3 linked regions of the Xenopus tropicalis genome follow. The protein of the gene in region 2 interacts with the protein of the main gene of each other region in a pairwise test. Links are inferred from orthologs where the notes say so. Each region holds a gene or a part of one and is shown on either strand. Other genes may lie near its edges.

What was found.
Region 1: the proteins of sgta (region 2) and sppl2a interact in binary tests that used the Homo sapiens proteins (3 or more experiments, as listed by UniProt). The two-hybrid records come from large-scale screens. The link is inferred for Xenopus tropicalis from reciprocal best matches to the Homo sapiens genes SGTA and SPPL2A.
Region 3: the proteins of sgta (region 2) and zymogen granule membrane protein 16-like interact in binary tests that used the Homo sapiens proteins (3 or more experiments, as listed by UniProt). The two-hybrid records come from large-scale screens. The link is inferred for Xenopus tropicalis from reciprocal best matches to the Homo sapiens genes SGTA and ZG16.

What each region holds. Positions count from the first base shown.
Region 1 is NC_030679.2:104,718,180-104,729,153, reverse strand, and holds the start of sppl2a (signal peptide peptidase-like 2A precursor), read right to left. Parts: upstream 6,514-10,974; 5' UTR 6,380-6,513; intron 6,131-6,379; 5' UTR 5,951-6,130; coding exon 5,894-5,950; intron 2,843-5,893; coding exon 2,723-2,842; intron 1-2,722. UniProt on the Homo sapiens protein: Intramembrane-cleaving aspartic protease (I-CLiP) that cleaves type II membrane signal peptides in the hydrophobic plane of the membrane. Functions in FASLG, ITM2B and TNF processing.
Region 2 is NC_030677.2:99,254,892-99,265,865, forward strand, and holds the start of sgta (small glutamine-rich tetratricopeptide repeat-containing protein alpha), read left to right. Parts: upstream 1-5,231; 5' UTR 5,232-5,275; coding exon 5,276-5,375; intron 5,376-6,369; coding exon 6,370-6,473; intron 6,474-7,166; coding exon 7,167-7,245; intron 7,246-8,410; coding exon 8,411-8,510; intron 8,511-9,145; coding exon 9,146-9,250; intron 9,251-9,328; coding exon 9,329-9,467; intron 9,468-9,545; coding exon 9,546-9,608; intron 9,609-10,842; coding exon 10,843-10,880; intron 10,881-10,974. Other genes in the region: slc39a3 (zinc transporter ZIP3), read right to left, coding at 1-27. UniProt on the Homo sapiens protein: Co-chaperone that binds misfolded and hydrophobic patches-containing client proteins in the cytosol. Mediates their targeting to the endoplasmic reticulum but also regulates their sorting to the proteasome when targeting fails.
Region 3 is NC_030685.2:5,089,906-5,100,812, forward strand, and holds zymogen granule membrane protein 16-like, read left to right. Parts: upstream 1-4,291; 5' UTR 4,292-4,322; intron 4,323-4,551; 5' UTR 4,552-4,552; coding exon 4,553-4,595; intron 4,596-5,038; coding exon 5,039-5,171; intron 5,172-6,261; coding exon 6,262-6,583; 3' UTR 6,584-6,811; downstream 6,812-10,907. UniProt on the Homo sapiens protein: May play a role in protein trafficking. May act as a linker molecule between the submembranous matrix on the luminal side of zymogen granule membrane (ZGM) and aggregated secretory proteins during granule formation in the TGN.

The sequences.
Region 1 (10,974 bases), on a different chromosome or scaffold from region 2:
ATTTCTTGTGTCTGTAATTCATGCGCCAGAGACACGCAGCTCTCTGCTGTCTCCTCTCTCCTGCTCCCCCCTCCCTCAAGAATGCTAAGAACTCACTCCCCCCCTTAGGAATGTGGATCTCAGCCAATCAGCAAGAATCTGACTCATAGGGGCCCATTTACTTACTCACGAACGGGCCGAATGCGTCCGATTGCGTTTTTTTCGTAATGATCGGTATTTTGCGATTTTTTCGGAAAATTATCGTGACTTTTTCGTTACCAATACGATTTTTGCGGAAAAACGCGAGTTTTTCGTAGCCATTCCGAAAGTTGCGATTTTTTCGTAGCGTTAAAACTTGCACGAAAAGTTGCGCTTTTTTCGTAGCGTTAAAACTTAAAAGGCGCGACGTTTTGCGCAAGTTTTAACACTACGAAAAAATCGCAACTTTTTGCGCAAGTTTAAACGCTACGAAAAAATCGCAACTTTCGGAATGGCTACGAAAAACTCGCGTTTTTTCGCGCAAATCGTATTGGTAACAAAAAAGTCGCGATAATTTCCGAAAAGTCGTAAAGGCGCCGAAAAAAATCGCAAAAAATACGAAAAAGTCGCAAAATGTTCGTTTTCCAATCTGAATTTTTCCAATTCGGATTCGAATTCGTGGGTTAGTAAATCAGCCCCATAGTCTTACTAACTGAGCATGTTCACTTGGTCTGGGTGTCTGTGCAGGAGCGAGGCATTATGGGAACTTTGTTTACACAGCTCAGCGTTTTTTCTTCCTGTTTGGCTTCTGATCATCTGAACAGGTGAAATATGGGGAGACTTAAGGGCACTATTGAGACTACTGAAGTTATGCCTGCAGCTTGAGATTAACTCTTTATTAGCCTTTCCTTCTCCTTTAAAAATGATTTTCTTTTTATCTGTAATTATAAAACAGTACCTTGTACTTGATGCTAACTAAGATATAACTAATCCTTATTGGAGGCAAAACAATCTTATTGGGTTTACTTCATATTTAAATGATTTTCAACAAGTTATGGAGATCCAAATTATGGAAAGATCCCTTATTCGGAAAACCCCAGGTCCGGAGCATTCTGGATAACAGGTCCCATACCTGTACTGAATATTAAGAACAATAGGGCAAGCAAATGTATCAATGCTTAGCACAAAAAAACATATTTAAAAGGGGATGTCTATCTTTTCCCATAAAATGAATATTTAAAAAATGCATTTGTCACATAAAATCAAATAACTCAATTTCTGGGTTCAGAGCAGTGGGGAGAGAGACAGTGCTTGACAGAGAAGAGTCAAGGGTTATTGCACATGCCTAAAATGTCCTCACTGAGTTTCTGTGCACTCATCTGATTGGCTGAAAATGTATGCATATGACTAATCCAAGCATATAAAAAAGCTCTTAAGGGCTCTGGCACACGAGGCGATTTGTCGCCTGCGTTTTTTCCCCCTGGAGCTTTGGCGACAAGTCGCCACGACAATACCCACTAAGAGATTTCATGCGAGTTGAGCTCCAGGCGATCTGCTACCCATGGTACACTCAACAGTTAACCCCCCCTCATGTTTACTCAAGTCGCTCAGAAAAGGGTCTGTGTGCGATTTGAAACAGCAGGCGATTTGAAGTAGCCTCGTATGTTTTGACGCTGGCGATTTCCATTGATTTAGCATTGGCGTCTTGTCGCTCGTCTTGTCGCCAAATCGCTCTTTTAAAAATCGCTGGCGACAAATCTCCTCGTGTGCCAGAGCCCTTAAAGCTGCTGAATAGCAGTTACTTTGTTTATAGTTTATATAAACAAAGCTGGTTAATAGCCATGGAGTAGCTATTTAAACTGAAATAGGGCTAAATGGCACAGGTTACATAGCAGATAGCATAAGCTCTTAAAACACCATTGTATTCTATACAGCTTATCTTTTAGCAGTTATGTAATGTGTGCCTTTTCTCCAGCTGGAATGGCTGCCCCAATGGCTACACAGCAGTTTATTTATTTTATATAAACTATAGTAGTCTTTCAAAAGCAATAACACAATTTTTACCAGTGTAGGGGAGCAGTACTTTATATTTTAATTTGTTTAAAACTTCCCCTTTTAGTGTTACTGTTCCTTTAAACCCTCATTGTCCTCTTTGATTTCACTCTACACACTTCAGTGTGTGCATAGCGGAGGAGAGAGCTGATGACTGGCTCCTCTAGGGGTGTAGCTGGAACAGGATAATTAAGTAAGCTAATAGCATAATTTATATAAAGCAAAAAAACTATATGATCATATTGGCAAAAGTGTTTTGGAAAGGTCCTGCCATTAAGACTTTACAAAAGACGGCCTTCACTTTTAAAAGCACTAATGCAACAAATGATATTTTTCCAGTGTTGACCTTAAAAGCAGATAAAGAATTGGGATTTTACTGTGTACAGCAGCTCTTTTCATTCAATAAGCCACAATAAACCCTTCCACCACCCTGGTATTACACTATTAGGTATAAAAATAGCAACTGAATCTGCAAATAGATACCAAGTATAACAGAGATAGAACACAACATGAATGGAGTAACAGGTTGCTAACACTACATACACTATATTACAAATAAACATTCTTCTCACTGGAATACAGTAATAAAAGTTACATCAGACAAAAAAAAAAATCATGTATGTGATCACAAAAAAAAAAAATGCTTAAAGCCAAGTTTCCTAGAAACAGCCCATGTGGCCATTGTCACCCACAGGTAGCACTTCTAACTCACTGCATTGGAATAAGATGCTGGAAGTGGTGTCCATGTAGAATTGTACGTTATACAATAATCCTTCGCAGAGGAAGGATCCTGATTTCCAATTGCATGTAGAATTCCTTGGTTTGCATGTACCTAAAGAAAACAAACAAATTTGTCAGACCTGCCACAGAACAAACAGCCTAACACGTCTGTAAACTCGTGCTTTATGCTTGAGAGGTTTTTTTAAAGGGAAAATCATACCTATGATGGCACAGGCTGTTTTCTTTACTGATGTATTTCAGCTGGGTCAGAACGGCCCATGCCACCTCACACTGATCATAAAGGGAACCACCTAACATCACTAGTGGTGGTAACCTTTGAACACAAGGCCCCCATGTCAAAGGGAGGTGGCATTGCCGTTTCAGCTCTTAACCAACGGCTGAAGTGCAGAGAAATCACCCCATATCCAGCAGTCATATTGGTTTAACAGTAGTATCATATAAAGAGCAAAAATATAGAGAATGGTGATATTCTTCACCATCAATGAGCCAATGTGGTTCCCGATCCAACACTAAATTTTTTTAAGTAAAAAATCTATTCTACCCTGAACCAATAACTGCCCTATCCTGCACAGTGTTTATTATTTTAAATGCTTTTGTTAGAAAATACCTTCTAAATCTCTGCATCCGGTCACTTCAAACACGGCGATCTTTCCCCTGCACAATCCACTACACGACAATCAACATCTCCTCCTAGTCCGACTCCAAAACTGGAAGTCAATTGTTTGCCTGTACAGAAGGAAGGCTAGGAGGAGATGTCAATCATCGCATAGTGGATTGAGCAGGGGGAAGATCGCCGTATCGCCGTATTTGAAATGACAGGATGAAAAGTTTTAGAAGGTATTTTCTAATAAAGCATTCAAAATAATAAACGCTGTGCAGGATAGGGCAGTTATTGGTGCAGGGTAGAATAGATTTTTTAAATAGTATTACTTTTCCTTTAATCTATGGCTAAATATGTTTTCTTATGTATTCCAACCGTCTTATGAGCTAAGGGGACCCCTCACCAAAGGTTCAACTTGAACCAAAATAGTCCAACAAGCTCTACAATGTTTCATTAACAATTAATATTTCAGTCATTTGTTCTCTCAGTTAGAAAACCAAACTGTCTGTTTTTACTAGTATGCACAGATTAACTCTTTTCTGAACAGCTGAAAGCACTGAATTCACCATAAGCTTTTATTATCTGTTCTATTTTAAATCTCAAGGGAGATTAAAAAAAGATAAAATATGTAATGTTCTGTGCCAACGTCACATGTCTATAAACTGTGGCCAATAGGTTTATTAACCTATCTTCTGTTACAGTGCTGAAAGCTTTTTGTCATGAATATAAAGCTACATGGAACCAACCGTCAAAAATTAAACAATTCTGCAGCAAAGCAATAAGTAATTCCAGGTTTAACCACTAACTTTTACTGGCCGTTGTTAATAAACATACGGAGCAAAGGCTCATTTAAGATTGCAGGGCAGAGGGCACAGTGCAAAAAAACAGGTGTATCTTCACAAATTTTGTTAACTTCTAATTTATTTTGTCAAATTACATATTTAGTTCATTTTTTAAACTTTGTAATTGTGGCATGTGCAAAAGTTTGGACACCCTAGTAAAAGTGATCATACATGTTAAGATCTGCTTATTTGGCGGGATCACCTCCAACTTGTTTCTCCCTAAAGGTGGGCGATATCGGTGTAAACCAGGGATCCCCAACCTTTCTTACTTGTGAACCACAGTCAAATGTAAAAAGACTTGGAGAGCAACACAAGCAGCATAACAGTTCATGGAGGCGCCAATTAAGGGCTAAGATTGCCTATTAGGCAGCCTCTATGCACACTATCAGCTTACAGGGAGCTTTATTTGGTAATAAATCTTGTTTTTAATCAACCTAAAATTGCCACCAAGTCAGGAATTCAAAAATAACTACCTGCTTTGGGGGCACTGAGAGCAACATTCAAGGGGTTGGTGAGCAACATGTTGCCCCCAAACCACTGGTTGGGGATCAGTGAGCTAAACAATCAAATTACAACGGCGGGCATAGTTGTCATCAGAGGCAGCATACACGGGCAAATAAGCTGGTGTATGGCCACCTTTAGTCAGTATTTAGTAAGACAACTTTTAGCACAGACCACAGCTTGTAAAAGCTTTTTGAAAACATTTTTGCCCACTCTTTCTTGCAGATCCTTTCTAATTACAAGATTTTCTTGGGCCATCTTGCATGTTTAAGATCTAGTTACAGATTTGCCACAGAGAGCCATTCCAAAAACCTTCAGCTTGCTATTCTCCAAGCTCATGAGCCCTTATTAAGGTCTGTAACTGTCAACAATTAAGTATAGGGACCTTGCAAATGTTTTACCATTGGACAAGTGTTAGGGTGTCCAAACATTCTGCAAAAGCCACAATTACTATTTTATTTGTTCCTATGTTTTGAACTTTAAAAAACAATTTAAATTTTTTTAACACACTAAGCCACAGTACATCTAAGGGTAAGGACCCACGGAGTGGTTCAGATGCACGCAATAGATCTCTGCTATCGTGGGTGACTAACTGCTCCAAAATGGCTTTCCACTGGCAACAATAGGAGTCTCTGGCAGAAATCCCTTTGCATTGCTTCCGTGTTCCTAAGTCACACAAAGTTTCCTCCTGTGGCAACATTCTTGCTGGTGGAAGATCTATTGCGGGTGACTGAACCACTCCATGGGTCCTAACCTAAGGGTGAAGACACACGGAGCTACTAGAAGCACTAATTTGTCACAGCTACAGAAACAGACAATGCTGATCTTTTACTGACAATTGTCTCTATGTGTGTTGTAGCAGAAGCATTTCTCAGTATTGTCTATGGCAGGGCATTTTCTGCCATTTAGTAGCCATGACAAGTAGCTGCTACTAAGTAGCTCCAATCAAACAGCCATGATATAAAAAAAAAGATTACATGTGTCCATGTACTAGATACAATACAAGAAGGTAATGTAATAAAATCACTATTCAGCTGTTCGAAAACTAACATCTGCTCAGTTGCCCAGGGTTATGAGACCTAGGCAAACACTGCACTTTTAATTACATTGCTCTTACATACACCAAAAATTGTAGTTTACCAAGAGCTACATTTCCGATCCCCATGCCCTCTGCCAAGCAGCTGCCCCATCCTGTTACCTGTGCCCAGTGCAGCAGCAGCAGTAGAGTGAGGCCCAGCGGCACAGACGAGCCCATTCTCTCACAGCGCAGCTGTCAACTCAAACCAGGAACCGGGTCACGGATACATGTAAATAAGAAGCACAGTGCGTATCTCGGAAGGATGCTTCTACAAATAACAAGTGGCCTCTCAATGTTTTTCCAGCACTTTTCACCATGGACTCGGAGCAGGGCCGCACTGGGAATAGAAAAGAAGCCCTGGCAAAAAAAATCAAAACAGCCTGTATATAAACAAGCAGTGGTCTTCTACTCATATATATTGCCACACATATATTAGGTTAAAACTACAATATATTATGTTATAATATTTGCAAAGTTGCTATAAATAGGACATTCTATAACACACAAGTTAACAAACTTGCCACAAGTAACAGCTCTACCTCCCCCACCCCCAGAATTGTGCAGCCTCTATGTCACCCCTATACTGCAGCATTACATTAATGTTACACTATGTCACAGCTTCTGCCTTCCTGATAAAACCAGTGGTGGCCTTTCCTGCCTCCCCTTCTAAATTACAGTCAGACCTTGATTTTATATATCCCTTGTTTTACGTTTTCCCAGATTTCATTTTTTTTCTCCTGGTAAACGTAAACTAGGGAACTGTATGGGAAACGGTTCACTCGCCTCCCCATGGGGTCGGTCACGGCTAGCCCAACACCACGTACTCCCTCCCTACCAAAGAACTGAATATGGTACTTACCTGTGAGCCTTAGGATTGCTGCGGTTTCTTTCGTTTTCAGGCACAGGTGGGGTATAGTGCTGAGCAGGCCCAGACTGGCGAATGCCCGATGGGTTGCTCTATTAATGTTAATATGGGCCGCTCAGTTGCGTCTTAAAATCCAATTCGATACAGCGCTGCACTTGCCTGTCCCTTTAGCTCTGGGGTCACACAGCCCACCCGAACTAGCACTTCCGGGGCCGCCTTATTAGTTTCTCTGTGTCAATGTCGCCGCATTCTACAGACAATTCTCTCGGTCTCTGCCCCTCCCCTCTCTCCCTCACTGGTGCAACGCAGCCCGCCCCTCCCTCACTGGTGCAACGCAGCCCGCCCCTCCCTCACTGGTGTGATGCAGCCCGCCCCTCCCTCACTGCTCTACAGGATGTTAAAGGACCAGTAACATCAAATGATGTTAATACTTAATTACCCTCAAAACTGCTATTGCTTCGCACTGATGATATAAATCTCCTAGCCTTTTATCAGTGTCTGCAGTATAAATTTATGCTCACATAACCTTACCCCCAAAGCTGTAAGAAGAAATAGAAACATGTATTTAAACTGCAGATGCTGATAAAAAGCTGCCTTAGAGGCATTTTACAAGTAAAATTCAAGGATTAAAAAAAAAATCAACTAGGATGTAAGCCTTAATTACTACTATAGAAGTTTTGGGGGTAATTAAGTGTAAGGGCTCTGGCACACGGGGAAATTAGTCGCCCGCGAGAAAACTCCCTGTTCGCGGGCGACTAATCTCCCCATGTGCCAGAGCCCTTAAAGGACATGTCAACCCCCCAACCAAAAATGTTATCAGTGAAAAGCCTCACAGCATTCTCTAAATACCTGCCACTCCAGTCCCTCAAAAGCAAACAGTGAAGCTGCAGCGATCCCTTGATATTTCTCCCTCTGCACAGCTCTGTAACTCCCTCTCCCCCCTCCCTTCAGAATCTCCTTGTCTGCCTGGCCTGGTGCACATGCACACTTCCAGTACATTTTAATGAGCATGCGCATTTAAGATGATTGTGTCCTCTAAACAGCATTTTGTTAATAAAATTTTTTTTTTCTTTTTTTTAAATCCTTCAAGAGGTCAGGCAGGAGGGGCCATGCACGCATGGAACCTATACGCGCATGGAACATATACACACGCTCGGTGACGTCACCCGGTAATATGGCCGCTGGGTGACACGGGAATCGGAAAAGAATGCGGCGGTGCAGGCTGTAGGAGGACATTAAGGGAGCGGCACTTATGCGGTTGAAGTGGGGGTAAGGCTCCCTATCCAGTAAAACTGAAATTAAAATTAGGGTTGGCATCTCCTTTAAGGTGGCGATACACTTTCAGATTTTAGTCTCCTTCCAAGTAACGTTCGATCATACGTTTAAATGCAGTGATCTAAAACTAACGTTCAGACTGAAATTGTAGGATAAAGCCATAAAAATAACAAAACGGAGGATGAAATAGTTGTCAGACACTGGACGTAGGAAAGTGACTGAGAGGAAACTTCACTTTCACTCTACTGCGCATGCGCCGGAGTCACAGCAAAACGAAGGCGGAAGAAGGAAGCGCATCGCCCCAGGTGCCCCGGGCTGGTGCTGTTTTCTCCTAACAGGGGCACCAGCCCGGGGTACGAGGTAAGCGATTCAAGATATTGCCTTTTCTTCCCCTTTAAGTCTTCACCTTGTAATGCGTTGCCACAGGCAGACAATGAGCTATGAAAAGAGGTGCATTCTACCACTTACTGGCAACATCTGGGTAGCAACAAGTGATGCCTGACAGGAGAAATTATATGCGCACTGATTGTACAAAACAAAATCACTTCCTGGTCTCTGCAAAGGCACTTTGCATGCACAGCAATGTGCTGGAATTTGTGTTTATTAATGTGGTTTGTGAGTGTGCTGCAACTAGAATGAACAATGCATAGTCTGAAGAACCTTATGTGAGTTATAAAGCAGTTTGATTCACACCCGAGTTTAGGCAGAAGAAGAACTAACTGCAAGCTAATTTGAAAGTTTTGTTCTTTCTTTATTTAGGGACATTTCATATGGGCTACTATTAATTTACTTTATAAAACCAAGCTCTTTATAAACCAGCCCAAATTGCAATTTGTCTAAATCCATGTTTATGAGAAGATATGGGGCTCTAAATAGGGTTGAACCAGACAGTCTGGTTTTACATGTTATGCTTTTCACACAAACTGGTTAGTCACACTTGCCTTTAATACAGCACACAGCATGATTGGTATGCAGTTAAATGTCCTGCAAGACAAACATCCTGTCACATGCTGTCTACAAGTGCGCCTAACCAGCTTTTGTGTGTGACACTATTTTAGTCATATGGTACCCCCTCTCTGTATTACCTTCAGATAGATCACCTCAAACTTGGTAACATCTCCTGGTTAAGGATGTATTTCATGAGATTCTTTCTCTCAGGAGGACCCTCACTGTATTAAGGTAGGAAAGGTCTGCCTCACTGAACTGCATACACACACAGAGGAGATTTCTGAGCCTAAAGGTGGCCACTTCCTCCACTGACGTTCAGGGCTGAATTGTCAGATATGGAGGTAGGAACAATAGAAATTATACCTCAACCTGCCAATTCAGCCCTAAATATAGATTTTGCTGGGGGACCTTCAGTGGCGACAGACTATTGTGATATATAAAACCCTTGCATAAGCTGTAGGGACTCTCAAATGGTGGCAGGGTTCCAGATCTGAAATATATTTATATAGGCAGATGATGCACAGACCTGCCTTGTTTTCACCTCCCCTGTCACTTTAGACCTCCTGCGATATCGTTCGACTCGCCGACATACCATACACGCACCGAATATCGTACGAAACGAGGTTTCGTACGATATTATCAGTGCGTGTATGGCCACCATAACACTCTCTTAAAGGAGAAGGCAAGGCAAAGTCAATTGGGTGTGCCAAAATGTTAGGCACCCCCAAGTGACTTAAATCACCTACCTTTTACCCCAGGCTGGTGCCCCTGTTCGGAGAGAACAGCACCAGCCCAGGGTAGCTGCAGCGCTTCCTCCTTCCTGCTTCGCTCGCGCGCACATGCACAGTAGAGTGAAAAAACCGAACTTTAACAGAGAAGTCGGCTTTTCACTCTACTGCGTATGCGCCTGTAGTCCTTGCAAAACGAAGCCGGAAGGCGGAAGCGCTCGCTACAGGTACCCCGGGCTGGTGCTGTTCTCTCCTAACAGGGGCACCAGCCCAGGGGTACCCTGGTAAGGTAAGTGATTAAAGTCACTTGGGGGTGCCTAACATTTTGGCACCCCCAAGTGACTTAGCCTTTCCTTCTCCTTTAAAGCTCCTCAAAAATCACATTCTAAAGGAAGCACTTAGCTAGTCTTCTGCAACAGTAACAAACCCTTGACCAATACAAAAGGGTGGTCCCTTTTTGCTTCTGTCTGTCTCCTCTTCCTGATAGAGTGTAAAGGCCATACACACTAAAATTTCACGACCTCACCAAGCGAGCGGATCTTCTCCCGATATCCCCACCTACGGGTGGGTGATATCGGGCTAATTCAGAAATTTGGCCCTGGGGCCAAACAATCACATTAGAACGACAGATATAGGCGCAGTCTGTTTGGGGACTGCATCAATGAGCCGATACTGTCCCCGATCCGGCTAAAATTTTAAACCTGCAAGCCTGTCGTTTGTGCGCATACATGGGCCGATAAGCTGCCGAGTCGGTCTAAGGGACCGATATCGGCAGCTAGAATCGGCCCATGTATGGCCCCCTTAAGTTCTTCACAAAAATCTGGAAGAGCACTTGGAAAGTGCTTCAAGGAACAAAACATGTCATATAAATGGAAACAATAGAAAGGAACCTCCAAATAAAGAGTTTAGGGAAACAATTCATCCCCACTTAATTTTTGTTCTTCCTTTTTGAACATGTTTTTTATGACATATCTTGAATATCTTTCACCTTTAAGGAAAATATATACACATAATGCATATTTAAAATAAGGTACAGCAGCACCCCCTGGTGGACTGATTAATTTTCAAGAAAATAAAAATAGGACAATATGATTCCGGAAACAGACCCTCTACCAGTTTGGGTACCTACAGAACAGGCAAAAAAAAGTCCCGAACACAGGTGATCTACAAGTACCCTTCAGGAGTCAGATGGGCTGCAGATGGTAATAAAGATTTGGGGCCAGAATGTATATACTGCCAAATTTCAGCTGCCGATTCAGGTCCTTCAGACCGAATTAGCAGCTTATATGCCCATGTATGGGCACCCCCGATGGCCCTACCCGACCAATATCTGGGCTAAAATTGGCCAGATCTCGATCGTGCAGGTTCGATTTTCCCTCAGAATG
Region 2 (10,974 bases):
CAGCACCTTGGCAAAAATGAGATTCATTCTGAGGAAGGGCTATATTTCTTGCATATAAAAGAGGGTCACAGATGTCAGGCTCCAAGGTGTATGAAAGTTTTACATGAAGGATTCAAACAGATATAGTAAAGTCTCATGGTATGTCAGAACCTACAAAAAAAAAAAAAAAAGGAGTTACATATATTTAAAGGAAAAGAAAAGTTTTTTTATTGCCAATAGATTAGTCATAATCTATAGTGCAAACTAGAATGCTATATTTTTTCTGCACAATGCTTTACCATACCTGAGTAAACAGCCCTAGAAGCTCTCTGTTTTTTTAAAGATATCAGCAGCAATTTTAGCTCAGTCTGACTTCACTTCCAGGCAGCAGGGTACATGCAGGGAATAGAAATGGGGAGGGGGAGAGAGCAGAAGGTAGGAGGAGGGAGGAGCAAATTGAGCAGGCTTGTGCCATGGCCTAAAAAGGAAGTCTAACAAAGAAGATCATATATACAGAATAGCCAGGGTCGGACTGGGGAGTGCAGGGCCCACCGGGGCTCCCGCCCCAGGGGCCCTGCAGGTGCCCCAGCCGCGTCCCCTAACCCCTCCCCCCCCCGCAGGGCCCCCGCCTGACGTCCTCCCCGAGCACATATAAATTGAACGCATCAGGGGAGGAACAGTCAGTAGGGGGAGCGCCGGCAAAGGTCGGACTGGGCCGCTGGGGCCCACTAGGGCCGGGGCCCACCGGGATTTTTCCCGGTGTCCCAGCGGCCCAGTCCGACCCTGAGAATAGCAGGAAATGTGGTGTTTGTTTTCACTAAGGGCTCAGAGCAGCAGTTCTGTAAGTGTTTATGGATGTATTTTCTTTCTGATAAAGCTTACTTAGTTTTTACCTTTCCTTCTCCTTTAAAATTCAACAGACATTTAAATGAAGACTGAAGCAAATATAGTACAAACTTATTTATGCAACTAGATGTTTTAACACAGTAACAAGGAATTTTGTAGTTTCCGTGTTATAACCTCTTCACAAAAAATTGGAACTGGTTATTAGTCTGAGCCACGTGGTGTGTGCCAACAGTTTCACTCAGGGCTTTGTCTACTGTAACCCCTGTCCCCAAGGTTTTAAGTAATTCTTCAATCTGTTGTGCTCCCGGAGTACCAAACCAAAAGCTATTCATTTGTATTGATCTCGGCTATAACCATTAATCTTTTCTATCCCTCAGAGAATAGGACTCTTCGCAGTGATGACTGTGATTTTAACCCTCAGGTTAACAGTATTAGTTTAACAATATGGCACAATTAATATACTAATTACAATTAATAGAATAATATACAATCAAAGGCAACATTTACTCATTAGTAACTGAAAATAGTGGCACAGATCCTGATCTCTGCTTGCAAAAGCTGGCTGTATGGCAACTTGGCGAGGCGACCGATATCGGAGAAGGCTGCGGATATCAGTCGACTTGATCGGGCGGGTTAAAAGATTTTGATCGGGCGCCATAGAAGGCGCCTGAGCAAAATCTGCCTTCAGGGCTGAATTGACAGAAGGAGGTAGAAATCCTATTGTTTCTACCTCCATATCTGACGATTCAGCCCTGAATGTCAGTGGAGGGTTGGAACCGATGGTCAATGGTCGCACGAAAGATCGAAAATCGCCACGTGTGTGGCCAGCTTAAAGGAGAAGGAAAGGCTAAGTCACTTGGGGGTGCCAAAATGTTAGGCACCCCCCCAAGTGACTTAGAGCGCCTACCTTGTACCCCGGGCTGGTGCCCCTGTACGGAGGGAACAGCACCAGCCCGGGGCACCTGTAGACACCGCTTCCTCCTTCCTTTGCGCACTGCCGGCGAAATCCGCCGGCCGGCGCATGCGAGGAGGAAGGAGGAAGCGCCGGCAGCTACCCCGGGCTGGTGCTGTTCCCTCCGTACAGGGGCACCAGCCCGGGGTACAAGGTAGGCTTTCTAAGTCACTTGGGGGTGCCTAACATTTTGGCACCCCCAAGTGACTTAGCCTTTCCTTCTCCTTTAAGACTCCCAATTTGTGCCTGCTCTTTGATATCTCCTTTTAAAAGTAAACAAATATAAGCAACACACAAACACTTGAAAATCGTACAGTACAAAGCACTTGTGTGAAATAATGCTGAAGTAGGCACTGTTAATTAAAGGCACAAGGATCCAGAGTGCAAATGCTACACCTACTGCATCCTTTGTAGCCAAAACACTACAATCATTTTAAGGGGAACTATAACGAAATTAAAATTCAATATAAGCGTCAATACTGAAATAATACAGTTCCTACATATAATCAATTAAAGATTCAGAACAGTTTCTGAAATAGCCAAGTTTATCTTCATTGTCTTTCATTTTCTCTTCATGCAGGAGTTGGGTGTCAGATTTTCATTAGCAGTTAGATAAAATATATCTTTTGCAGGTTCCCCTTTTCTAGCAGATGTATAATGCTGGCCATACACGTGGCGATCTGACGATGTTTGAAACATCGTCAGATGTGCCACACACCATTCAGGGCTGAATCGGCAGGTAAGGAGGTAGAAACAATAGGATTTCTACCTCCTTCTGCCGATTCAGCGCTGAAAGGAGATTTTGATCAGGCGCCTTCTATGGCGCCCGATCAAAATTTTCCAACTGGTCCGATCGGCGAGTCGGCCGATATCAGCAGCTTCCTGCGATATCGGTCGACTCGCCGACATACCATACACGCACCGAATATCGTACGAAACGAGGTTTCGTACGATATTATCGGTGCCTGTATGGCCACCTTTAGAGCTTACTCAAATAACTGATTCTAGCACAAACAAAATTGCTAACTTTGGCACAAATCCTATCTGTGGTGGTTTTAAAAGATTGAGCTCTAATGCATCTTCTAGGCAAAGGAAACTGCCACCACTCTAGAGATATATTGGATCTGATATTTAAAATCAGGCTCCCACCTCTTGCTTGGAGAGAGGAAGAAGAGAGACAGATGCTGCGAAGCAGGAGAGCGAAAAACAACTTGATTATTTCAGAAATGGGCAGAATTTTAGAAAAAATTTAGAAAAAATCATGTTTTAGTATGCTGAAGCTTATATTGAACTTAAATATTTGTGATAATTCCACTTTAAGCTTAATAAATGTACCCTCTTTACCTGCCTATATCCTGTACCCACTGAATGTGAAATTCAACTGGTCAATTAATGTCCCAATCTGGCCATTAAGTTATTTTCCCCTCTGGCCAAAGATGTTATCCATTAAGTCCACATACGATAATCAAACACCCTGTTGGGGGCATGGGAGAGAGGAAATAAGAACATAAAAGCAGGCTAAACACAGGCTAGTTTGCCTCTATGTTTTGAATGACAACAAGGGTTCTGAAAATTAACTAGAGCTGGTCGACTGCAATGTAGCACATATTTTCGTTAGAAAGCCATTAAGTATTATAGCCTTGTAATATTATTTATTGGTATAATTACCCAGGCATGCACTGCGCCAATACTCTTATATTATTCAAAACTCATATTAATGTTACCATTAAATGTCGGTGTTCCCTGTGCATACCGATATACTTCCAGACGTTAGCTACCTGGCTCCAGGAGCATGGACAATTGTCTCTGACCCGAAACCACCATAGTACAAACAAAAACGCAGCAGTCCAGAGACTCTGAGACACATTCGCGAATCCGACTAATGACGCCACTTCCTGTATGACAGCTGACAGGTGATTCCGAATCCGGTTCCGGGCTTTCGCATGTGAGTAGTGGTGTCTGGTAAGACTGGGTCAGAGAGATTTTTGGGGGGGGTGCCTTTGTGCATGGTAAGGTTAATATAGGTGTTACTATTTTGTGGTAATATGATGGAACCGACATATAACAGACCAGGAAGTTCTGTTGAACACGCTGGTGATAGAGAATGTTGATACAGGGGAGCGGAATGGAAAGACTCAGAGATATATTTAACTAATATATTGGTGCCAATGGCGGCCCGGAGCTTTTTTCAGTTTAATTACACGAACGTGTACTAATACTGCTGGGGCTTCTGACGTGTGGGAGGTGACTTTGCCTAGGTCTGGGTGTCCTGTCTGCATCCGCTCAGCCATTACTGAACCACAGGATCCTGTATGTGCTGATAACAGCATTGTTGACGTCTGTACCATCCATTTGACACAGTACCATCCATTTGACACATTTCTGACCGCTACTGCCTTTAGGGCTCTGGCACACGAGGAGATTTGCGTTTTTTCCCCCTGGTGCTTTGGCGACAAGTCGCCACGACAATACCCACAAAGAGATTTCATGCGAGTTGAGCTCCAGGCGATCTGCTACCCATGGTACACTCAACAGTCAACCCCCCCTCATGTTTACTCAAGTCGCTCAGAAAAGGGTCTGTGTGCGATTTTAAACAGCAGGCGATTTGAAGCTGACGCTGGCGATTTCCATTGATTTATATCTTGTCGCTCGTCTTGTCGCCAAATCGCTCTTTTAAAAATCGCTGGCAACAAATCTCCTCATGTGCCACAGCCCTTAAACTGGGCTTTCCCTAAAATTCTTCAGCTGATTAATCATCCATGCAATGGAAAGGTCATTGGGGCTCATTTATCAACACTGGGCTCATTTATCAACACTGGGCAAAATTGCACCTTGGCAGTAACCCTTGCCAACGAATCAGTGATTAGCTGTTTTCAGCTGGCTGAAGGTTGGGAAAGAAAAAATCTGATTGGTTTCCGTGGAGTTACGCCCAGGGGCAAATATGCCCTGTCTTGTAAGGGACCTGTGGTGTTTCTGAAAGTGCTATGCCGTAGTGATAAAAATACTAGGTATTTTAGCAGATGCTGCAGCTCTTATGTTGAAGTCTACCTTTGGAAGATAATACAGTGTGTGTATGTCATACAAACCCTGTTAACTGGGTGGAAATATTGAAAATGTGTATAAGTGTGGCCCTAGATATATGGGTTGTGGGTGACCATATGTACATAAACACTGTTTTCTTTTTCCTTTGAGACCTGTGGCATATCCAGTGGCCGCTCTAAACAACAGTATTTGTTGAACAAGGGGAGCTAAAAATGACGAACATTATTGGATATGCCTGCAGAGAATGGTGCATTGTTAATCATTTGTATAAATGTACTTGTGAATATTTGCTTAATGATAAAATGGCAAAGACTGGTGATTCTGAATGGTACCTGGAAAAATATATCTATTTTTTTTTTTATCAGATATGAATTCATATTCACTGACATTGTTTATGTTTTAATGCCAGTTTATTTGCAGAGTCGGACCTTGTCACTTGAAGTGTTCACAAATCCAATGGCTGACAAAAAACGCTTAGCTTTCTCCATTATTCGGCATTTACATGACCAGTTACGCAATGGTGGGCTTTCCTCAGATGCACAGGAGAGCCTGGAAGGTCTGGTTGTTACTTCATATTCTATCTTTCTGTTTATTTGATGGGGGAACTATTCTTATGAGACAAAATAGTTTTTTCTTTTCCTTGCTTTTTCATAAAACTTATGATATTCAGCCTGCACCCACCTGGGGCTACTGAACTACTGCCAGATACTTGAAGTGCAAGTTTAACAGGCAGTAGTCCAGAGGATGGAGAGCAGTACTTTTAAATGCATTCTAATATCTAAATGCTTCTTACCATGCATACGGGCAGTAATCCCCAACCAGTGGCTCGCAAGCAACATGTTGCTTACCACCCCTTTTGATGTTGCTTCCACCGGCCTCAAAATAGGTGCCCATTTTAAAATTTCTGGCTTGGAGGCAGGTTTGAAAGCCAGACACAGATTTACTCCAAGCAGAGCCTCCTGCAGGCTAGCAGTCCATTTGGGGCTACCAAATAGCCCATCAGGATGTTGAGAGTAAGTTAAGATTTTTTATGTAGTGTATAACGTGTTATGAATGTTTTGTTTTTTTAAATTATTAATGTAACAATTTTCAGCCTGCAACTGAAAATGCTCTCTGGTTGTTGGAGATCATTGACCTGGGCGAGTAAAATTGAATGAATGTGAGAGTTCAGATTTATTGTTAGTTTGATTATCTTTTTTTCTGTTCATCTTCTTTTAATCATCCATTGTGACTTCCAAACTGCTGTCTGGTTGTTGTATTAGCTTGCACCTCTGGTGGGGAAGTGTTTCTGTTGATCAGTCTCAATTACACCCTGATTCATTCATTTAATAACTGTAAAAAATGAAAATGTACAAGTTTGTAAATTAATATTGTGAATGTTAGTCCACAAATGTTTTCAATGCAAGCCTGCATTGAATGAATTAAGTGTTCCATCCCAGGGAAGTCTTCTGGTCTTTCTCTGATGCTTGAATGCAGGAACTATTGGATTACTTTAAATATATTTGTGTATAATTACTAGATGGAAGCATTATGTAATTTGAATTTTACAGTTGCTATTCAGTGCCTGGAGACAGCCTTTGAGGTTTCCATTGAAGACAGTAACTTAGCTGTACCAAGGAGTCTCCAAGAGATATTTACAGAAGCCACATGTCAGGTAATCCTTGTAATTAGTTATTGACTGACATGAAATGGCATTGTTTTGGAAAAAAATGAATTGCGAAATTCTAAACTTTTTAAAGTCTACATACCATATTTCATCTTTCTTACAAACTTGATAACATAAAGGAGTAGGAAAGTTACAGTTACTGGGGCCAAAGTCTTAGGCATCCCCAATCATTGTAATTGCTTGCCTAAAACCCCCAACCAGTGCTCCTCTTAGGAGAAAACTGCATGGCTGGTGTGTATGTGAGCTAGTGATCCTTCTTCACATGCTCAGTAGAGAGAAAAGCCAGCTTTTCCGCTCAACTGCGCATGTGTCTGTCCTGGGATTATAAAGAAAGAAGACAGGAGGAAGAGGAAAGCTAGCTTGCATATACCCTGGGCCAGTGCAATTTCATCCTAACAGGAGCACCGGGCACAGGTATCAGGTAAGAGATTACAATCACTGGTGGGGGGGGGCTAACATTTGGCACCCCTCCGTGATTTAGCCTTTCCTTCTCCTTTAATCACAGCTTTTACTATAAGACTTTGTAGCTCTACATTCTAAGCTTTCTTACCGTTTTGTAAACTGAAACTTAAAACTAGCAAAGAAGAAAGATTGGTTTGCTGTCTAGACCATAGTTTTGGGAAAATGGTAACTTAATGCGCTGTTAATTAAAGCATTCTTCTTCTCTCCTCCCAAATTCAGGACTCTCCGCAAGTTAATTCTGGCCTGGCCTCCCCTTGTGATGAGGATGTAGCAGAAGCTGAAAGATTGAAGACAGAAGGTTGGACACTTGACATGTTGCATGATCTCTTAAAGGACAAGGCAACGCAAAATATAATTTTTGCCTAATAAAAGAAAACAAGATTCTAAGCAGCTTTGCAATATACATTTATTACAAATTTGTAATGATTTTTGAGTAATTTGTATTTATAATTGCTATTAAAAAGCAGTGTTTGCCTGTCCTTTTCTATTCTCTACCCTGGTGACTCTGACTGTTGAAACAATGTAACACAAGGCAGCAGATTGACAGACTTGACTTGCTGGAGGAGACAGTTGCAACACTGATTAGAAAGTAACAACCAGGAGTTCAGCAAATGCTGCTTTCAATAGCAATTACATTTACAAATAACTTTTAAAGCGCTACAAATTTTTAACTATTTTTCATATTGGAAAATTGCTTAGAATTATGTTTTCTTTTCTTATGCAAAAAGTTATTTTTGGGGTCGACATGCCCTTTAAAATTGTCCCTTGTATTAATTGTTCATGACTGTGAGGTTATGCAGAATATTCAATTGCATTAATTGAGAAGCCATGGTATATTGGTAAAAAAAAAATGGCATTAAGGAGTACATTTTGGGACAAGAAAATACTTGTGGTAGCATAGTTAGACAGTATGGCAGTATAAGGATATTTGATTTAAAGGCGTTTATATAATCTCCACTTCTCTAAATTCACATCTTAACTTTTTTCCTATATTTTTCTTTATATCACCCTCATTTCACCTTTCACCCTTAATCCAGATTTCTTTGCCATTTGCCACTGATTTTGTCCATTTAATATAATTCCCTTACATATTTGTCCTTGTATGTATTTGTGCCCTTCCACTTCAAACTCCCTACTTCTACACTTTGTTTTCTCCTTTTGCTCCACCTTGACCTCCAGCTGCTTTTTAAAGGAATACTGTCATGGGAAAACATGTTCTTTTTCAAAACTCATCAGTTAATAGAGCTTCTCGAGCAGAATCCTGTATTGAAATCTGTTTTTCAAAAACTTTGAAGCTGAGTTTGCAGACTCAAGGCAATTTTGATATCAATTAATAGAAAGAGAAAGAATTACTGTCATGTTATTACTTTTCTTAAACCTGTATCTGTGTTTTAATTATTGTGGCCAGAGGTAGTTTTTGGTGTATGTACCATTAGATGAGCAGAGAATCTTGTTTTTCTTAGGCAATGAGCAAATGAAATTAGAAAATTTTGAAAGTGCTATTTCCTACTACTCAAAAGCTCTTGAACTGAACCCAACAAATGCTGTGTACTACTGCAACAGGTATGTATCTACATACAAGAAATATGTGTGTGTGTATATATCTCTGCTCTTCCCACGAAGAATTAAATAGCAGGCAAGCTTAACCTTTCCCGTGCCTGCCTGTCTGCTTCTAAGGGCACTCCCTCCCCCACCATTACACATAGACAACGGAGCTGAGTTTGTCACACACCGCTGAAAGCAGAAGGGGCATTGCAGGTTTGTGACTGGGCATATTTATTCACTTGGGAGGCATTTCAATTAAAACCCGGAAGAGGGGAACAAACATGGCTGCTCCATGGGTCTCATGCTACCATAATTATGAAGCGAAAAAACTTTGCAGATTTAGGTTCTAAGGAATTTAAAGCTGATACAAATTAAAACACAACAGCAGGTGTAAAAAAAATGTTCAAGTGGCTGTCCATAACACTTTAATATTTAATTTAGAAATTTCATACATATATATATATATATATATATTAAAATGTACTGTTCTGTTCAGTAATTTGTGCCTGTTTTTGTCTTTAGTAACATTAGTAACATATTTTTGCACACAACTTTTACATAAAAGCTTCTGGTTTCATTTGTCATGTCATGTATCTGCAACAGTTGCAAAACAAGGCATTATTAATCACTATATTGCGTGTCTTTTTACACAGGGCTGCAGCTTACAGCAAACTGGGCAACTATGCTGGAGCTGTGAGGGACTGTGAAGAGGCAATTACAATTGACCCTAACTACAGCAAAGCTTATGGCAGAATGGGGTATGTTCCTGTTTAAGTTACTTTACCTTACAATTATGGAAGAAATGTTTTTAAACCATTCTTTTTTAATATTTTTAGACTGGCACTTTCAAGCTTGAATAAACATGCAGAAGCTGTAGGTTTTTACAAACAAGCCCTGATACTGGATCCAGACAATGAAACCTACAAATCAAACCTAAAGATTGCAGAACAGAAAATGAAAGAGCTGCCCAGCCCAGTGAGTATTCTTTGTTTATCCTGTGGTGGGGAGATCTGTTTTTATAAGTAATCTAACAGGATCTTTAATTTCATCTAGATGGCTGCTCCTGGAGGTTTTGATTTGGCTGGCTTGCTCAATAACCCAGGCTTTATGAGCATGGTAAGTATCCTCTTTAGTGTTTTTATCAAGATTGTATTTTCTTCTCTTAATTTGAGAATAGGGGCATAATATGGAGCTAAAATTGTCATTATATAGATGTTTTATATATTTATTATTAATTTAATTAATTTTTGTACAAAAAAATGCTTGAGATGCTTGAATATATTGGTTCACCGTCATTTTACTTTAATTGACTAGTAGTCTTATTGTGCAAAAACCAGCACCATCTAAATTGAGCAATACACAAAGATGGTGTACTAACATTTATAGAATACTTATTGTTCTAAATCAGTGCTGTCCAACTTCTGTTGTACCGAGGGCCGGAATTTTTCCGGCCTACGTGGTGGAGGGCCGATAATGGAAGCCAGTTTTGACCACTCCCCTTTTTGAAACCGCACCCACTTGAAACCACACCCATGTTATCACATGACCATACCCATATTAATGGTTGTAGTACAGCAAAAACCTGCCATACTCTGCCTGCCCTACCCTGCCTGCGTGCCATACTTTCACTGTGTGTGCCATTCTTGGCTGGTTTGTGCCAAACTTGGCCTGTGTGTGCCATACTCTGCCTGCCCTACTCTGCCTGTGTGTGCCATACTCTGCTTGCCTTATGCTGCCTGTGTGTATGGCACACACAGGCAGCCTACAGTGACACAATGCTGGCACTGCTCCTACAGTCTGCACAATAACTATATATTAAAATTTTTTATTTGCAGTACCAGCTCAGTATATGTTCTTTTTGTAGTGTGCAGGGATTATTTGTGGGTTTCTACTGCTCCTGAGGTGTGAACAGGGGAACAATGGGGGTGATTACAGCCTGAGCCTGAGGTGTCAACACTGCAGGGGGAACAATGCAGAGATTAAAAGGTGTGAACAACTCAGGGGATTACATGTTTAAACAATACAGGGGGATTACAGCCTGAATCTGAGGTGAGAACCATGCAGGGGGCCAGCTAATCTCAGTACTGATACCATTTAAAGTTTACACAAGAGTAAGCCATCAAAGCAGCCAGACAGGTGGGGGGCCACACAGAGGGGGGTCACGGGCCGCATGCGGCCCGCGGGCCGCCAGTTGGACAGCACTGTTCTAAATCATCAAGTCCAGTGTCACCAAGAACAATTGTGTACAGTGCAGATTTTCTTTTCTCTCTCCATCTGTCTGCTATAAGTCTAAAAGCCTTTGTGCATGTAGAACTTACAGCATTTTCACTATTATGTCTTTTCACTGTAGGCGTCAAATCTTATGAATAACCCCCAAGTTCAGCAACTGTAAGTTGTATTACATTAAGTCTTTACATTTTTCAGATTTAAATTGTACAGCTATAGGAAGTGTAGACAGTGAGATTCAGTACACAGCTTTTTT
Region 3 (10,907 bases), on a different chromosome or scaffold from region 2:
GGTGCTAATGTGACCCCCTTACCTGGGAAGCGAGAGAGAGGGAGTCCCAGAAGAGACAGTAGGTTTGCCCGGGGCTGGGGGTTTCAGGAGTTCCCTGGGCTACACTGAGGCCCAATGTATAAATACAAAGGAGAACATGAGTGAGTGAGTGCAAAGCCTTCACTGTGGGAGTCCTGATTCTGGGCCCAAGTGTCTCCCAGTACCGCTGTGCAACAGAACCATTGCTTTATGGGCTCCGCCACCCAAACTGTGCACAACATGATATACAGTATATTGAATATACCCATAATCCAACACTGGGACCCCCTGGTTAATCATCTGGGAGGGGGGATACAGGGATAAGGTAGGTCCCAGGTACAAATCAGCCACAGAATGACCCAATGTCCCTTCCCGGCCCTTAGCCTCGGCCAATGATCTAAGACAAACAGGCAGACAGCTTGCAGGTACAGCGCTAATCTGTGGGATCCTCCCATTACCAACCTATATTATCCCTATAGTATCCTAACAATGATAACGTTCTATGCACATAAGATAATGTTTATAGAGGGGTTAATATGTGCTCATTAGCGTGCAATTAATTACACAGGTAGGAGAGAGAGGATCCCCCCACCCCCCATGTGTACCAAACTAATAATTATTATATTGCTACCATAGGGCCATGTCCCGTAAGAATAAATACAGAACCTAGAGGGAGGGGGCAGAGGAAGGAGAATATAATTATGGGATTATCTATGGCTCATATCATTGTGGGTGTAAGGGTGCTACGTCTGATGGGTCAGGGCGCTCATTCAGGCAGTTTGTTTGCTGTGTAGCAGCCCTGGATCCACTGAGACCATGTCCTATCATGTCAAACCCCGCCCACAATCCACCAAGCCCCTCCCACAATCCACCCAAGCCCCTCCCACTCCCTGCAAGCCCCATTCATGTTTCTCTGGACACCCCAAGGTTACCCCTTCTCAGTGCTTTTCATCTTCTAATGCTAAGGGGGCCCAGCCTGAAGGCCAGTTAGGGGGGGATTTGGGGTGAGTGCTTATTTGTGCCCTGGGTACCCCTGGAACTATAGCGGGGTGACTGTTACCCCAATGTTTCTATATATCTGTAACCTTGTTATGGGCTAAGGGGGCCCAGCCTGAAGGCCAGTTAGGGGGGGATTTGGGGTGAGTGCTTATTTGTGCCCTGGGTACCCCTGGAACTATAGCGGGGTGACTGTTACCCCAATGTGTCTATATATCTGTAACCTTGTTATGGGCTAAGGGGGCCCAGCCTGAAGGCCAGTTAGGGGGGGATTTGGGGTGAGTGCTTATTTGTGCCCTGGGTACCCCTTGAACTATAGCGGGGTGACTGTTACCCCAATGTTTCTATATATCTGTAACCTTGTTATGGGCTAAGGGGGCCCAGCCTGAAGGCCAGTTAGGGGGGGATTTGGGGTGAGTGCTTATTTGTGCCCTGGGTACCCCTGGAACTATAGCGGGGTGACTGTTACCCCAATGTTTCTATATATCTGTAACCTTGTTATGGGCTAAGGGGGCCCAGCCTGAAGGCCAGTTAGGGGGGATTTGGGGTGCGTGCTTATTTGTGCCCTGGGTACCCCTGGAACTATAGCGGGGTGACTGTTACCCCAATGTTTCTATATATCTGTAACCTTGTTATGGGCTAAGGGGGCCCAGCCTGAAGGCCAGTTAGGGGGGGATTTGGGGTGAGTGCTTATTTGTGCCCTGGGTACCCCTGGAACTATAGCAGGGTGACTGTTACCCCAATGTTGCTATATATCTGTAACCTTGTTATGGGCTAAGGGGGCCCAGCCTGAAGGCCAGTTAGGGGGGATTTGGGGTGAGTGCTTATTTGTGCCCTGGGTACCCCTGGAACTATAGCAGGGTGACTGTTACCCCAATGTTTCTATATATCTGTAACCTTGTTATGGGCTAAGGGGGCCCAGCCTGAAGGCCAGTTAGGGGGGGATTTGGGGTGAGTGCTTATTTGTGCCCTGGGTACCCCTGGAACTATAGCAGGGTGACTGTTACCCCAATGTTGCTATATATCTGTAACCTTGTTATGGGCTAAGGGGGCCCAGCCTGAAGGCCAGTTAGGGGGGATTTGGGGTGAGTGCTTATTTGTGCCCTGGAACTATAGCGGGGTGACTGTTACCCCAATGTTTCTATATATCTGTAACCTTGTTATGGGCTAAGGGGGCCCAGCCTGAAGGCCAGTTAGGGGGGGATTTGGGGTGAGTGCTTATTTGTGCCCTGGGTACCCCTGGAACTATAGCTTTAGCTTTCCCCATACATGAGGTGCCACCCTCTTACTCCCCCCTCACTGTCAGGCACAGCTGGCGGCTGCGGCACTAATCTCTGGGTGGCATCTCCTGTTACACAGCTGTGTGTGTTTGTGAGTCACAGGGGATTGGCCAGTGTGTGTCCCAGGCTTGCCCCATGCTGTGTACATTTGTGGTTATTTATATTAGCTACACACCACATTGACCAGATCTGCATTATGCACAGATCTCCCCTTGCTCTTTTATCAGGGTGTCTCATGTGATTTGGGGTTCTGCAGACATGCAGAAATGAATGCATTACTGTGTGTGTGGGGTCAGCAAAGTGCAGCAAGATGGAGACAGTAGGACAAGATGGAGACAGTAGGGCAAGATGGAGACAGTAGGACAAGATGGAGACAGTAGGGCAAGATGGAGACAGTAGGGCAAGATGGAGACAGTAGGACAAGATGGAGACAGTAGGACAAGATGGAGACAGTAGGACAAGATGGAGACAGTAGGACAAGATGGAGACAGTAGGGCAAGATGGAGACAGTAGGGCAAGATGGAGACAGTAGGACAAGATGGAGACAGTAGGACAAGATGGAGACAGTAGGACAAGATGGAGACAGTAGGGCAAGATGGAGACAGTAGGACAAGATGGAGACAGTAGGACAAGATGGAGACAGTAGGACAAGATGGAGACAGTAGGGTAAGATGGAGACAGTAGGACAAGATGGAGACAGTAGGACAAGATGGAGACAGTAGGACAAGATGGAGACAGTAGGGCAAGATGGAGACAGTAGGACAAGATGGAGACAGTAGGGCAAGATGGAGACAGTAGGGCAAGATGGAGACAGTAGGACAAGATGGAGACAGTAGGACAAGATGGAGACAGTAGGGTAAGATGGAGACAGTAGGGCAAGATGGAGACAGTAGGACAAGATGGAGACAGTAGGACAAGATGGAGACAGTAGGGTAAGATGGAGACAGTAGGGCAAGATGGAGACAGTAGGACAAGATGGAGACAGTAGGACAAGATGGAGACAGTAGGGTAAGATGGAGACAGTAGGGCAAGATGGAGACAGTAGGACAAGATGGAGACAGTAGGACAAGATGGAGACAGTAGGGTAAGATGGAGACAGTAGGGCAAGATGGAGACAGTAGGGCAAGATGGAGACAGTAGGGTAAGATGGAGACAGTAGAGCAAGATGGAGACAGTAGGGCAAGATGGAGACAGTAGGGCAAGATGGAGACAGTAGGGCAAGATGGAGATTGTATATAAAATTATTGGCCAGGGAACAGTCTATTATATCAATGGAAGTTTCAACTTTTTATAACAGTTGGTGCTGTTAAGGTGTGGGATTCCACAGCTGCCTGGCGTTAATGATTCTATTCTGGTGCTTGGTCCCCAAGGGGTTAAGTTGGGTTTTGGTTTTCAGTGGGACCTGTCTTTAAACGATATGTTAACCCCTAACAAGCCCCATTCAGATCCTCATTGCAGAATGGCATTGACTTTGTTGCCCCCGCTCACAGTAGGCCCAGCCCCCAGCAAAGACACAGGCCCTTATTACCCTACACTCTCTAATGCCTCTCTGGTGATAACTCAGCAGCACTGTCTCGCTTTACGGCAGGGATATATTCTCATATAGTCCCATAGAGATGTATGGGGAATGCTGTGCCGGTGACACGAGTGACATTAGCTCTGCAAGAGGGGGAGGCGACCACTAGAGGATTCTGGTAGTTCAGCAATGTTTGTAGGCTACAAATTCACTAGTTCCATACATTGCTAATGGCAGCCCAGCACTTCAACCCACTGCTACCCCTACATGACTCCCTTGGGCTGTGCTCTTGCCAGCAGAGCTGATACTCATTTCTATATTAAGGCTAAGCAAACAGAGATAAGGCCAGGGATTGCCCCTGACCCCATTTGCTCTGCCTTATCTGCTCCTGCCCCACAGCTGTGCTCCTAGTATTTGCTCAGAAGGAGGATTCTGGGCAATAAACCAGCCCCCTGCCATATTAATAGGGGTGCGAGTCGCTCAGTCGTCCCAGAGGCCAGAACTTCTAACAGGTAACACTGAAGCGCCACCTGGGGGTCAGGGTGGGACACTGCACCGGGGGAGACAGTTTCCTTTGGGGCTGGGTCCATTGAATGTGGGTATTTGGTTCAATTCTGCTGGGGTTTGTTCTGACCCATTACCTCTGTGGGTTCCCATATGGCTTGTAATGCTCTGTGTATATACAGTAGGATAAAGCGAGGTACATGGCTGGGGGTAATGCTTCTCTTTCTCTCCCCCCAGAATGCTGCTGTGGGTCCTACTCAGTGTGTGCTGCCTGGTTGCAGGTGAGACCCCCCCCCCCCCAGATCATATAAGGGGAGCCCCAGAGATATTATAGGCTATATAGAGCAATGTATAATGCAGGGCGGGGGGACAATGCCAGTTAAAAGAAACAATCGGGAATGGAAATGTGTAATAATAATAATAATAGTAATTACTGTATGTGCTTAGACGTTTCCTTTATTGAGCAAAAAAAAAGTGGAGGAGTTCATTCTTATTGCATTAATATAATAGCTTTTATAGTCATTGGCTGCAGTACCGTGTCTCACCTGTCTGGGTCAAGGACGGTTTTCCCCATAGGTTGCAGTAGAACAGCGCCACCATCTCATACATAGAGAGGGCAGAGGGTTAATCAGTAGGGGGCGCTGTACACAGGGGTACATACCATGTAGGGGACGCTGTGCCCTTTTGTACTGTGTGTGGCGCTCATGGGTCTGTGCTCCCCCAGCTCAGCAGCGCAGCTCGTCTTACTCTGGAGAATATGGCGGCGGTGGCGGCAAGAGGTTCTCCCACTCAGGGAACCAGCTGAACGGGCCACTCACAGCTATTCGCATACGGGTGAACCGCAACTACATTGTGGGGTAAGTCATACAGATACCGTCTGCTTCTGTGCCTCACTACTTTGTCTGTGCCATGTCTATACTGCTGCCATCTTGTCTGTGCCATGTCTATACTGCCGCCATCTTGTCTGTGCCATGTCTATACTGCTGCCATCTTGTCTGTGCCATGTCTATACTGCCGCCATCTTGTCTATGCCATGTCTATACTGCTGCCATCTTGTCTGTGCCATGTCTATACTGCCGCCATCTTGTCTGTGCCATGTCTATACTGCTGCCATCTTGTCTGTGCCATGTCTATAGTGCCGCCATCTTGTCTGTGCCATGTCTATACTGCCGCCATCTTGTCTGTGCCATGTCTATACTGCCGCCATCTTGTCTGTGCCATGTCTATACTGCCGCCATCTTGTCTGTGCCATGTCTATACTGCTGCCATCTTGTCTGTGCCATGTCTATACTACCGCCATCTTGTCTGTGCCATGTTCATACTGCTGCCATCTTGTCTGTGCCATGTCTATACTGCTGCCATCTTGTCTGTGCCATGTCTATACTGCCGCCATCTTGTCTGTGCCATGTCCTTACTGCTGCCATCTTGTCTGTGCCATGTCTATACTGCCGCCATCTTGTCTGTGCCATGTCTATACTGCTGCCATCTTGTCTGTGCCATGTCTATACTACTGCCATCTTGTCTGTGCCATGTCTATACTGCTGCCATCTTGTCTGTGCCATGTCTATACTGCCGCCATCTTGTCTGTGCCATGTCTATACTGCCGCCATCTTGTCTGTGCCATGTCTATACTGCCGCCATCTTGTCTGTGCCATGTCTATACTGCCGCCATCTTGTCTGTGCCATGTCTATACTGCCGCCATCTTGTCTGTGCCATGTCTATACTGCTGCCATCTTGTCTGTGCCATGTCTATACTACTGCCATCTTGTCTGTGCCATGTTCATACTGCTGCCATCTTGTCTGTGCCATGTCTATACTGCTGCCATCTTGTCTGTGCCATGTCTATACTGCTGCCATCTTGTCTGTGCCATGTCTATACTGCCGCCATCTTGTCTATGGCATCCAATGGCGCTGAGCCCTGACCCTATGCCAATGTTGGCTTGCAGGCTACAGGCGCGCTATGGCACGGCATGGAGTGACTATAAAGGGGGCAGCCTGGGAGATTTAGAGGAAGTTTTCTTGCACCCCGGGGAGCACATAATCCAGGTCTCGGGCAAGTATTCCGTCTACATGCGCCAGCTGGTGTTTGTCACAAACAAGGGTCGCTACTTCAGGTTTGGGAAGGACTACGGAACCAGTTTCAACGCGGCGCCCCTCTTCCCCAACACCGTGCTGCGCTTCTTCAGCGGGAGCTCCGGGTCCGTCATCGACGCCATTGGCTTCCACTGGGACTACTCCTCCAGCGGCTGCACCCACTGCAACAAGTGATCCCGCCGAGCCCACCCCCTGCCTGCAGGACTGGCATTCCCTGTGTAATTCATTTATATATGATTATATATTCCCTGCGCTTCTGTCAGCGCCCCCTGCTGTACATCACACACATTGCAGAGTCTCCCCTGAGATACATTCCTGCCCCCCAGCATCCGCCTCCGATTGCCTTATCCTGCATCTCAATGTAACTCACCCAAATGCTTGCAATTAAATCTTTATCCCGAGTGTTGTGTTGCTTCTACTAAATGGGATATTTGGGAGGAAAGGTCACATTTTTATTTTAACATTTGGTTATATATGGAATAATTTCTTATATATTGGATAAAGGAAAACCCCCTAACCCTGTAGGCAATTATGAATAATATCCGGTGCTGGTTTCCCTTTGGGCTAAACATTAACCCTATCTGTAACAATGGCCCCTTTATTGGAGCTCCCTATAGATCCTCTCAGGTCCCTGTCTGGGTTTCACATGAGGGGTGGGCGTGTCCTAACGGTCCCTGCCAGAAGCACAGTAGGAGGGGGAGAGCCAATCACAGCCCTGCAGTCACACAAGCACAGACAGGCTTCAGTTCCCTATCAGGTCAGCCTAGCTGCTGATTGGTTCCTATCCTACAGTGCCGCCGGCCCCCCTGCACAGCCTGGAAAAGGAGGCAGCAGGAAGTGGAACAGATGGGCGGGGCTAGTGGGGTTTCGGGAGAAATTTTCAATAAATCAGCCTGAAACACTACTTTTTAAAGCCCATTCCTTCTATATTTAGATGAGTACAATTCATTGGCACAATATTAATTTTTAGTCAATATGTCCCCTTACAGCTGCACAATGCCCTCCCACCTGTATCAGGTGTAGCAATTTCTCCACAAGGTGGCAGTGTTGCCATGGTGACTGGAGACAAAGTCACTATCACAGAGGTAAGCCCTTTACAGACTGTGGATGGAAGTGCGTCACATGGCCACAAGGTGGCAGCACCTCCCTCTATGGGAATTTCTCTCCCACAGCAGTAGAATTTGCAGTTATGGCATGAACTCCTACCGTACCAGCTGGTTGGATGTTTAGTGTTTCTGTTGCCTTTTAGTCCTCCATCTTTTTTCCATTTTCCATCTTTTATCCAGTTGGGACAGGTCTCTCCTGCCTACAGCCGCTGCCCCTGGTCTAATAGATACAAACCCAGCGGATAATTATACCCAGACCCCGGTGACACCCAGCTGATATTGGGCTCCCCAAAGGCTGCAGTGATAGGAGCCACAGTCGTTACGAAACCCTTGTAATTAACTTGCCCTACTGTCTCCATCTTGTCCTACTGTCTCCATCTTGTCCTACTGTCTCCATCTTGTCCTACTGTCTCCATCTTGCCCTACTGTCTCCATCTTGCCCTACTGTCTCCATCTTGCCCTACTGTCTCCATCTTGCCCTACTGTCTCCATCTTGCCCTACTGTCCCCATCTTGTCCTACTGTCTCCATCTTGCCCTACTGTCTCCATCTTGCCCTACTGTCTCCATCTTGCCCTACTGTCCCCATCTTGCCCTACTGTCTCCATCTTGTCCTACTGTCTCCATCTTGCCCTACTGTCTCCATCTTGCCCTACTGTCTCCATCTTGTCCTACTGTCTCCATCTTGCCCTACTGTCTCCATCTTGCCCTACTGTCTCCATCTTGTCCTACTGTCTCCATCTTGCCCTACTGTCCCCATCTTGCCCTACTGTCTCCATCTTGTCCTACTGTCTCCATCTTGCCCTACTGCCTCCATCTTGTCCTACTGTCTCCATCTTGTCCTACTGTCTCCATCTTGCCCTACTGTCTCCATCTTGCCCTACTGTCTCCATCTTGTCCTACTGCCTCCATCTTGTCCTACTGTCTCCATCTTGTCCTACTGTCTCCATCTTGCCCTACTGTCTCCATCTTGCCCTACTGTCTCCATCTTGCCCTACTGTCTCCATCTTGCCCTACTGTCTCCATCTTGCCCTACTGTTTCCATCTTGCCCTACTGTCCCCATCTTGCCCTACTGTCTCCATCTTGTCCTACTGTCTCCATCTTGTCCTACTGTCTCCATCTTGCCCTACTGTCTCCATCTTGCCCTACTGTCTCCATGTTGTCCTACTGTCTCCATCTTGTCCTACTATCTCCATCTTGCCCTACTGTCTCCATCTTGTCCTACTGTCTCCATCTTGCCCTACTGTCTCCATCTTGCCCTACTGTCTCCATCTTGCCCTACTGTACCTGCTTTCACCCTGCCTACGTACAACTGCTGCTCTACAGGGCACCACTATGTGCTGGGCACCAGGCAGTTGCTGAACCCCCCATAGAACACTATAGATATATCCGGGGGGGCACTGCCTTGCCCATTGCCCTATTTCCCCTTATCCATCTCTGCAGACTGAATGACTTTGGGAAAAACAGGATTTATAAGTAACTCAGCTTGGCACAAACTGCCACATTGGGAAGCCCTGCTGGAAGCTGCTCTGAGATTTCTTACCTGGGAAACAGCTGGTGCCATACAGGTGGGCAGGATAATGTGCCATACAGGTGTGCCCCCCCCCCCCCCCCCCCCCAGGGCAGAGCAGATTAACATCAGCTCCATTATTTATAGGCATAACTGTATCTTGTAGAGTGAGATCTGTATATCCAACCACATCCAACCGTATCCAACCACATTCAACCACAGGATAATGGGCAGGATAATGTGAGAGAGAGACAGGGGCTTGGGGGGGACACTATATTATTTACTGGGGGTGAAACTCGAAGGCCCAGAAACTATGATCTGCCCCAATTCCATTATATCCCTTTTGCTATACCCTATTAATTACCCCTCTCCTTCTTTGTCTCTGCATCTCTTCTTTCAAACCTCTTTGTCTCTCTCTCTCTTCCTCTTCTAGATGTCTCTTTCTCCCACCAGCATTCCCCATCTCTTCCTCCCATCCATCCTCCTCCTCCTCTTCTTCATCCCAGCTCCTCATGTTCTCTGTCTCTCCCACCAGCATTTCCCATCTCTTCCTCCCATCCATCCTCCTCCTCCTCTTCTTCATCCCAGCTCCTTATGTTCTCTGTCTCTCCCACCAGCATTCCCCATCTCTTCCTCCCATCCATCCTCCTCCTCCTCTTCTTCATCCCAGCTCCTCATGTTCTCTGTCTCTCCCACCAGCATTCCCCATCTCTTCCTCCCATCCATCCTCCTCCTCCTCTTCTTCATCCCAGCTCCTCATGTTCTCTGTCTCTCCCACCAGCATTCCCCATCTCTTCCTCCCATCCATCCTCCTCCTCCTCTTCTTCATCCCAGCTCCTTATGTTCTCTGTCTCTCCCACCAGCATTCCCCATCTCTTCCTCCCATCCATCCTCCTCCTCCTCTTCTTCATCCCAGCTCCTCATGTTCTCTGTCTCTCCCACCAGCATTCCCCATCTCTTCCTCCCATCCATCCTCCTCCTCCTCTTCTTCATCTTGACTCCTCATGTTCTCTGTCTCTCCCACCAGCATTCCCCATCTCTTCCTCCCATCCATCCTCCTCCTCCTCTTCTTCATCCCAGCTCCTCATGTTCTCTGTCTCTCCCACCAGCATTCCCCATCTCTTCCTCCCATCCATCCTCCTCCTCCTCTTCTTCATCTTGACTCCTCATGTTCTCTGTCTCTCCCACCAGCATTCCCCATCTCTTCCTCCCATCCATCCTCCTCCTCCTCTTCTTCATCTTGACTCCTCATGTTCTCTGTCTCTCCCACCAGCATTCCCCATCTCTTCCTCCCATCCATCCTCCTCCTCCTCTTCTTCATCTTGACTCCTCATGTTCTCTGTCTCTCCCACCAGCATTCCCCATCTCTTCCTCCCATCCATCCTCCTCCTCCTCTTCTTCATCCTGACTCCTCGTGTTCTCTGTCTTTCCCACCAGCATTCCCCATCTCTTCCTCCCATCCATCCTCCTCCTCCTCTTCTTCATCTTGACTCCTCATGTTCTCTGTCTCTCCCACCAGCATTCCCCATCTCTTCCTCCCATCCATCCTCCTCCTCCTCTTCTTCATCCCGACTCCTCATGTTCTCTGTCTCTCCCACCAGCATTCCCCATCTCTTCCTCCCATCCATCCTCCTCCTCCTCTTCTTCATCCCAGCTCCTCATGTTCTCTGTCTCTCCCACCAGCATTCCCCATCTCTTCCTCCCATCCATCCTCCTCCTCCTCTTCTTCATCCTGACTCCTCGTGTTCTCTGTCTTTCCCACCAGCATTCCCCATCTCTTCCTCCCATCCATCCTCCTCCTCCTCTTCTTCATCTTGACTCCTCATGTTCTCTGTCTCTCCCACCAGCATTCCCCATCTCTTCCTCCCATCCATCCTCCTCCT